Oryctolagus cuniculus: one gene and its partner. The protein of the gene in region 2 purifies or fractionates together with the protein of the main gene of each other region. This does not show direct contact. Links are inferred from orthologs where the notes say so. Each region holds a gene or a part of one and is shown on either strand. Other genes may lie near its edges.

Region 1 (4,135 bases), on a different chromosome or scaffold from region 2:
TCCCTGGGCCCCTGCACCCACGGGGGAGACCCGGAAGAAGCTCCTGGCTTCAGATTGGTGCAGCTCCAGCTGTTGTGGCCATCTGGGGAGTGATCCAGTGGATGGATGAGCTCTCTCTCTCTGTATCTCTGCCTTTTGAATAAATAATTTTTTTTAAAGTAATACAGAGAGAAACAGAGTTACACACAGAGAGAAGGAGAGGCAGAGAGAGACTTGGGCCATCTTCTACTTCTTTCCCAGGCCATAGCAGAGAGCTGGATTGGAAGTAGATCGGCTGAGACTCAAACAGGCGGCGGCCCTACCCGCTACACCACAGCAACGGCCCCTCAAATAAATCTTAAAAAAAAAATGAATTCATAATAAAGATACCATAACTAGATAAAATAAATTCTTCTTTTTTTTTTTTTTTTTTTTTTGACAGGCAGAGTGGACAGTGAGAGTGAGAGAGACAGAGAGAAAGTTCTTCCTTTTTACCGTTGGTTCACCCTCCAATGGCCGCCACGGCCGGCGTGCTATGGCCAGCGCATCGCGCTGATCCGAAGCCAGGAGCCAGGTGCCTCTCCTGGTCTGCCATGCGGGTGCAGGGCCCAAGCACTTGGGCCATCCTCCACTGCACTCCCTGGCCACAGCAGAGGGCTGGCCTGGAAGAGGAGAACCCGGGGGGCCAGATAAAATAAATTCATAAAACACAAAACGGGCCGGCGCCGCGGCTCACTAGGCTAATCCTCCGCCTTGCAGCGCCGGCACCCCGGGTTCTAGTCCCGGTCAGGGCACCGGATTCTGTCCCGGCTGCCCCTCTCTGCCCAGCTCTCTGCTGGCACCTGGCTCCTGGCTTCGGATCAACTCCAGCCGTAGCGGCCATAAATGGGGTGAACCAACGGAAGGAAGACCTTTCTCTCTCTCTCTCTCACTGTCCACTCTGCCTGTCAAAAAAAAAAAAAAAAAAAAAAAAAAAAGCCCACAAAAGCATGGTCTCTCATTGGCATAATTTTCCAGGAACCATCCTAATGTCCCCATAGGTGGGTTAAAGGCCTCTGGACATCACTGTCCACACTCTCAAAAAGAGTAGATAATTCACTGCAAGGCAGTCAAATGTTTGACTGCTAACATCATTGGAAGAAATCCTACCGTAGGCTTTCGGGGTCATCTGCCCAGCTTTCCATGACCCGCCAGTCCCTGCATGAGTAGTCCCTTAGCGTGCCAGCGCATTCCACCTTTTCTCGGTCCAGAAAGACCCAGTAACCCCGCGGAAAACCAAAGCAGAGCCAGGGCCGCTTCTTCCGGGGCCCCGCCCCGCCCCGCCCCATCTCCTAGCCCCGCCCCGGGTCCCGCCCCATCGTGGCCAGGCTAGCGGCTCGCGGCTCGGCGCTTCCGCTTCCGGTGCTGTCTGTGGCGGCGCGCGAGACAGCTATGGCGGCCGGTGGCGTTGATCCGCGGGCTGGCGACGTCGAGGAGGACGCTTCACAGCTCATCTTTCCCAAAGGTGAGGTGAGGTGATGCGGGGCTATCTCTAATCATCGGTCGCTTCTCGCTGAATTCCTGGCCTCAGCGGACGGCCGGGGTCCATCCCGGCGCGGCGTGGAGCTGGGGGAAGGGGGACCCTGGCCCTGGAAGGATCCTGGTCGGGCACCGGCGGACCCTGGCGTCGCGGCTTCCACGCTCCCATCCCTGGAATGCTCGGCGCCCACTGGCATTTGCCCCTGCCGGGCCTCCTGCTGCCTGTGTTAGGTGCACTAGTGTCTTTTACCCGGGAACAGACTGCCATCTGCTGCCTCGCAGGGTGCATACCAGCAGGAAGCTGGAATCAGCAGTGGAGCCAGAACCAAATCCAATATTGGATGCTGCACGGGACTTGGGTTTCCCAAAGTAGCATCTGAACCACGGTACCTTCGTTTTGTACTAGAGAGAAAAATGTATGGTGTAAGAAGACCACTCAAGGGGCTGCGCCGTGGCTCACTTGGTTAATCCTCTGCTGCGGCGCCGGCATCCATATGGGCACTGGGTTCTAGTCTCGGTTGCTCCTCTTCCAGTTCAGCTCTCTGCTGTGGCCCGGGAAGGCAGTGGAGGATGGCCCAGGTGATTGGGCCCTGCACCCGCGTCGGACACCAGGAAGAAGCACCTGGCTTCGGTCGGCGCAGCTCCAGCCGTGGCAGCCATTTAGGGGGTGAACCAACGGAAGGAAGACCTTTCTCTCTCTCTCACTCTGTCTCACTCTTATCTGTCAAATAAATTAAAAAAAAAAAAAAAAGACCACTTAAACAAGCCACTCGTAAACCATTAATGACTGTAGTGCAGGAACCTCAAGAGAATTTCCAGGTGACTTACTGACCAAAGAATCATTTTAAGTTATTTGTGACCGCCATTTTTAAAATAGCTGCACTGGGGCAACATGTAGGTCCCTGATTTCACCTAGAAAATAATGAGTTTAGCCTTAGGGAGAAATATTGAAGCCTTCCTCTCCATAGTGTTTTCTTTTTTTAGATTTATTTGTTTACTTGACAGAGTGAGAATGAGAGCAGGAGGGAGAGAGAGAGATCAGAATCGCTCTTTCATCCACTGGTTCACTCCCCAGAAGGTCATCATGGCTGGGGCTGGGTCAGGTTGAAGCCAGGAACCAGGAACCCTATCTGGTCTCCCACGTGGATGGCAGGGGGCCAGTCTGTTGAAGTAGAATCCTGGAAATGTTTCTCAGGGGCTTGGTGGTATCACACACTCTTTGCCTAAGCCACTCCAATCAGCCAGTTTGGCTTTTTCTTTCTCTTTTCTTTTGTTTGGGGGGGTGGGGTGGGGTGTATGTTGTGGAAAGGCAGAGAGACAGCTGCCATCCACTGATTGGTTCCCCAGATGCCCACAGTGGCAGAGCTGGGCTGGGTCACCAAGAGCTGGGACTGCAATAAAGGTCTCCCACATGGGCGGGAGGGACCCAACTGCTTGAACCATCAGTTCTGCCTCCCAGGGTCTGCGTTAGCAGGAAGTTATAAATCTGCAGCTGGAACCTGAACCCAGGTCCAGGTGTGCTCATGTGGGATGAAGGCATCTTCCCTGCTAGGGCAAACACATGCCCTTTCCTTGACTGAAGAAAGTGAGGGTAGTGTGTAAGTAGTACTTGGGCATTGCCTTAGTGAGGAATGGGAATGAATGACTAGTCTCTGCTGTCCTGACATTCCATTCCCATTACTTTTGTTGTTAAATTAATTTATTTGGGAGCTGGCGCTGTGGGGCAGTGGGTTAATGCCCTGGCCTGAAGCATCGGCATCCCATATGGGCGCCGGTTCGAGACCTGGCTTCTCCACATTCCATCCAGCTCTCTGCTATGGCCTGGGAAAACAGTGGGAAAACATGGCCCAGGTCCTTGTGCCCTGTGCCCATGTGGGAGACCGGGGAGAAGCTCCTGGTTCTTGGCTTTGGATCGGCACAGCTCCGGCTGTTGCAGCCATCTGGGGAGTGAACCAGCGGATGGAAGACCTCTCTCTCTCTCTTCTCTCTCTGCCTCTCTTCTCTCTGTGTAACTCTGACTTTCAATTAAAATAAAAATCTTTAAAAAAATTAATTTATTTGAAAAGCAGAGTGACAGAGACAGGAGAGACATCTTGTGTTCCCTGTCCTCCCCCAGATGGCTGCAACAGCCAGAGCTGGGCCAGGCTAAAGCCAGGAGCCAAGAACTCCATCCGTGTCTCCCGTGTGGGTGGCACGAATTCAAATAGTTGAGCCATCACCCAGGTGCATTAGCAGGGAGCTGGCTTGGAAGTGGAGTAGCTGGCAGTCTGATTTGGGATGCTGGCTCCAAGCAATGGCTTAGTCTGCTGTGCTGCAAGTGCCAACCCTATCCCATTGCATTCACAAATAGATGTGGCTTAGTGCAGAAGCAGAGGCTTCTCTAACTTTGTTTGATTTCCATTTATTTTTTAATGAAAATTTATTTATTTATTTGAAAGGCAAAGTTAGAGTGTGAGATCTTCCATCCACTGGTTTATTTCCCAGATGGCCGCAATGGCCGGAGCTGGGCCAGTCTGAAGCCAGGAGCTTCTTCCAGGTCTCCCATGTGGGTTCAGGGGCCCAAGGACTTTGGCCATCCTCTGCTGTTTTTCTCAGGCCATTCTCAGGGAGCTGGATCAGAAGCAGGAGCAGCTGGAAC
Region 2 (4,091 bases):
GTTTTCCCAGTTATCATTTTGCTCATGGTACCCTGGGTGTCCATCATAATTACAGATGAAGTTGTGGGTTAGATATTTTCACCCTTACCATAAATTTAGATTATTTATACTTTTCAGTATGTTTTCATTTAAATCTTGAAAAAAAAATGAAGTTTACTTAAGATAGCTATTATTGCATTCCACAGATAACAAGAAACTAAGGCATGGAGAACAGCACTAGAATTCTAGTTGTCCAGCCAATTTCTAACTACAGATTTCTTCTTTGTCTGCAAAGCATTATACTCAGTAACATTAGGGAGAATAAAGATGTTGGTAACCAAAGTTAAGCAACAGTAGCTAGAAAAATCTCCTTGCTGTTTTTCTATATAACTATGATGAGTGTTTTTTGATTGTTAAAGAGAAAAAACAGGGGCTGACACTGTGGCATAGTGGGTAAAGCTACCACCTGCAGTGCTGGCATCCCATAAGGGTGCCCGTTCAAGTCTTGGCTGTTCCACTTCTGATCCAGCTCTCTGCCATGGCCTGGGAAAGCAGTGGGAAATGGCCCAGCTCCTTGGGCCCCTGCCCCATGTGGGAGAACCAGTGGAAGCTCCTGGCTTTGGATCAGCTCAACTCCTGCCATTGCGGCCATTTAGGGAGTGAATCAGCTGAAGGAAGACCTCTCTCTGCAATTCCATCTTTTCAAATAAGATTTTAAAGAGTTACACAAAGAGCGAAGGAGAGGCAGAGAGAGAGAGAGAGGTCTTCCATCATCTACTGGCTCACTCCCCAAGTGCCTGCAACAGTCAGAGCTCCGCTGATCAGGAGCCAGGAGCTTCCAGGTCTACCACACAAGTGCAGGGGCCCAAGGATTTGAGCCATCTTCCACTGCTTTCCCAGGCCCTAGAAAAGCACTGGATTGGAAGTGGAGCAGCTGGGACTCGAACCAGTGCCGATATGGGATGATGGCACTGCAGGCGGTGACCCCAAAATAAATCTTTAAAAAAAAAAAAAAAAAAGGCCAGCGCCACTGCTCACTTGGCTAATCCTCCGCCTGCGGCGCCGGCGCACAGGGTTCTAGTCCCAGTTGGGGCACCGGATTCTAGTCCTGGTTGCTCCTCTTCCAGTCCAGCTCTCTGCTGTGGCCTGGGAGGGCAGTGGAGGATGGCCCAAGTGCTTGGGCCCTGCACCCACATGGGAGACCCAGAGGAAGCACCTGGCTCTGGGCTTCAAATCAGCGCAGCATGCTGGCCGTAGCAGCCATTTGGGGGGGTGAACCAATGGGAAAGGAAGACCTTTGTCTCTCTCTCTCTCTCTCTCACTAACTGCCTGTCCAAAAAAAAAAAAAAAAGAAAAGCAAAGTTCTTGACAAAGACCCTCAATCCCCTGAGTCAGAGAGTCAGATGGCCCTTGCTGTGGTCCCAGCTGACCTGTGAGGGCCTCTCCTGGTCACAACATCAGAGAGTATTTCTCACTTACACTTTATGAAAAGCAGAGAACAGTGTTGAGCATGCAGGCCATGTAAATTATCATTCTGGCTCATCCAAGAAGAGCAGAATGCCTCCATGTCTGCCCTGTTTAGGTTTCTGCCCTTTCTCCTTCCCGTGCCTGTTGTTCTGTAGTACTGCACTTCTAGTGTTTATATGTTACTGTTTACTTTTGCTGTTTCTTAAACATAAGCTTTTTCTGTCAAAGTCAAAACTGGGAAAAGTGGTAAAAATCATGAGAATGGTTGTTCTTGAGGGAAGTGCAGTCTGGAAATGAAATCAGCAGTTCTTCTGGTTGAGAAAAAAATATAAGCTCAACATTTCATGATTCTCACTTAAAAGCATCCTTATTTGGGTCACAGTTCGTATAGTCCTTTACTTTTCTTCTGGGTCAGTGACTGTAAACTCCTCTTTTAGGACTAATGTTTCTCTGTGTTCTCTAGGCAGCACGGAGCTGACAGGCAGCACCAATCTCATCACACACTACAACCTGGAACAAGCCTATAACAAATTCTGTGGCAAGAAGGTGAAGGAGAAGCTAAGCAACTTCCTGCCCGACCTGCCGGGGATGATCGATCTTCCCGGCTCTCACGACAACAGCAGCCTCCGCTCCCTTATCGAGAAGCCCCCTATTCTTGGTGGCTCTTTCAATCCCATCACAGGGACCATGCTGGCTGGCTTCCGCCTCCACACCGGCCCGGTGAGTGCCCTCTTGAGAGAGGCAGCAAATGGGGAAGCCGAGGGCAGGGAGTTTTCTCTCTCCACATCTGCTCCCTTGTACCTTACTGAGCAAAGGATTTCCTTCTCCACTCACCCAGACCTTCCTTTGCTTCCTTCAGTTGCCAGAACAGTGTCGCCTGATGCATATTCAGCCTCCCAAGAAGAACAAGAAGCACAAGCACAAACAGAGTCGGACCCAGGATCCTGTCCCCCCAGGTAAGCAGCAGCCCTGTTAAAACAAGAAAACCTGACCTTCTGAATTTGGTGCAACTTTGCACAGTTGAACCCAGTGAATTCCTCACACAGCCCTGGATGCCCAAGTTTCCACAATGTACTTTGATCTCTTTGGCAAGTAGGGACTTAGGACAGGGGTTCTGGCAGCAGAGCCATTTAGAGAAACACAGTTGGGCACCTGCCTGTGATGCCAGCACCCCATATGGGCACTGGGCTGAGACCTGGCTCCTCCACTACCTATCCAGCTCCCTGCTAGTGCATCTGGGAAGGCCGTGGAAGATGGCCAAGTCCTTGGGCCTCTGCACTCGTGTGGGAGACCCGGAAGACACTCTGGGCTGGCTTTGCCCTGGCCCAGTCCTGGCCATTGTGGCTGTTTGGGGAGTGAACTAGCAGATGGAAGAGCTGTTTCTCTCTAACTTTGCCTTTCAATAAACTTTTAAAAATCTAAAAAGAAAAAAAAAATTTGCCCAATTTGGTGTCCTGTAGTCTTCCAAATTCACAAAGTAGAGAATTTTGAGCATTATAGGTAACAGGCCCTAATGCTTCCTACAGAAACACCATCTGATTCGGATCATAAGAAGAAGAAAAAGAAAAAAGAAGAGGATCCTGACCGGAAAAGGAAGAAGAAAGAGAAGAAGAAAAAGAAGGTAGGGGTAGAGCCTGTTGCTGCAGCCCTTTTCCCCATATCTCACCCTGTCCTTTGCCTCAAACTGGACCCAAGAGTGAAAACTCAGGGCAAGTTGCTAGTTGTTCTTACCCTCCTCCTTTATCTTCTCCAGAGCCGACACAGTCCAGACCACCCGGGTATGGGCAGCTCTCAGGCCAGCAGCAGCAGCAGCCTTCGCTGACAACCACTGGACTCTACCAGGATGGCTTTTCCTACTGAACTTCTAACAGAAGCTGCCTTCCCGGCTCTTGGCCAATGCCTTGGGAATACCCAGCAGCCAAGGCAGAGGCCAACTCCTGCTCTGCTTGGTTGCGATGAATACATTAGAAGAGGGAAGGGCCATCCTTTTATAAGGCTCAGCCTAGTTGGCTTTCTCATGGACATCTCTTCCTCTCCCAGGAAGCTATTTCTTCTGTTTTGTGCAATTTGTTTAATATCAGAACTTGACCTGTTAAGTTTTTCTTTAAAAAAAAAAATACCTGCATTTATCAAACTGGCTCAAGTGTGGCTGTCTGTTAAGGGAGGTAAGTGCCTTTCTATGGAAGTCAGTGGTTAAGACAAGTCATTCCTAAGCTTTAAGGGGATTTGAGTCGTCCTTGCATTATCTCATTGGCAGGCAGGGAAACAACCAAAATGACTGAGAAACATGGTCCAAAAGAGGCACAGCTTCATTATACTCTCCCCATAATGTCAGGAACAAAGTGCCTGGATGGTCTTCAGGCTCCACTCTGAAGAGCTGATCCATTTAAACCTCAACAGATTCTAGGTCAAGTTTGGGTTGAAACAGAATAGTCAACTGAAAAAGCACCTACAATCACCATCTTCTTTAGTATACTTCAACCAGATTGACTCTTTGGTCAGAAAACTATAATGTTTTGAAATGAACCTCTGGCAAGCAAAGGTAAATGTTTCTTTTATCTTTATAAAATCCTTTGGCCTGCCTCATTCCTTAGATAACACAGTTTGGCTGATAAGCTCCCAAGACAGCAAAAAGGGCAGCCTAG

What was found.
Region 1: the proteins of MED19 (region 2) and POLR2D purify together in Homo sapiens (affinity purification with mass spectrometry; 4 studies listed by BioGRID and IntAct, with this or other methods). This does not show direct contact. The link is inferred for Oryctolagus cuniculus from reciprocal best matches to the Homo sapiens genes MED19 and POLR2D.

The regions. Positions count from the first base shown.
Region 1 is NC_091434.1:121,247,756-121,251,890, forward strand, and holds the start of POLR2D (DNA-directed RNA polymerase II subunit RPB4), read left to right. Parts: upstream 1-1,321; 5' UTR 1,322-1,410; coding exon 1,411-1,483; intron 1,484-4,135. UniProt on the Homo sapiens protein: Core component of RNA polymerase II (Pol II), a DNA-dependent RNA polymerase which synthesizes mRNA precursors and many functional non-coding RNAs using the four ribonucleoside triphosphates as substrates.
Region 2 is NC_091432.1:14,445,520-14,449,610, forward strand, and holds the end of MED19 (mediator of RNA polymerase II transcription subunit 19), read left to right. Parts: intron 1-1,909; coding exon 1,910-2,166; intron 2,167-2,305; coding exon 2,306-2,402; intron 2,403-2,972; coding exon 2,973-3,067; intron 3,068-3,199; coding exon 3,200-3,268; 3' UTR 3,269-3,580; downstream 3,581-4,091. UniProt on the Homo sapiens protein: Component of the Mediator complex, a coactivator involved in the regulated transcription of nearly all RNA polymerase II-dependent genes.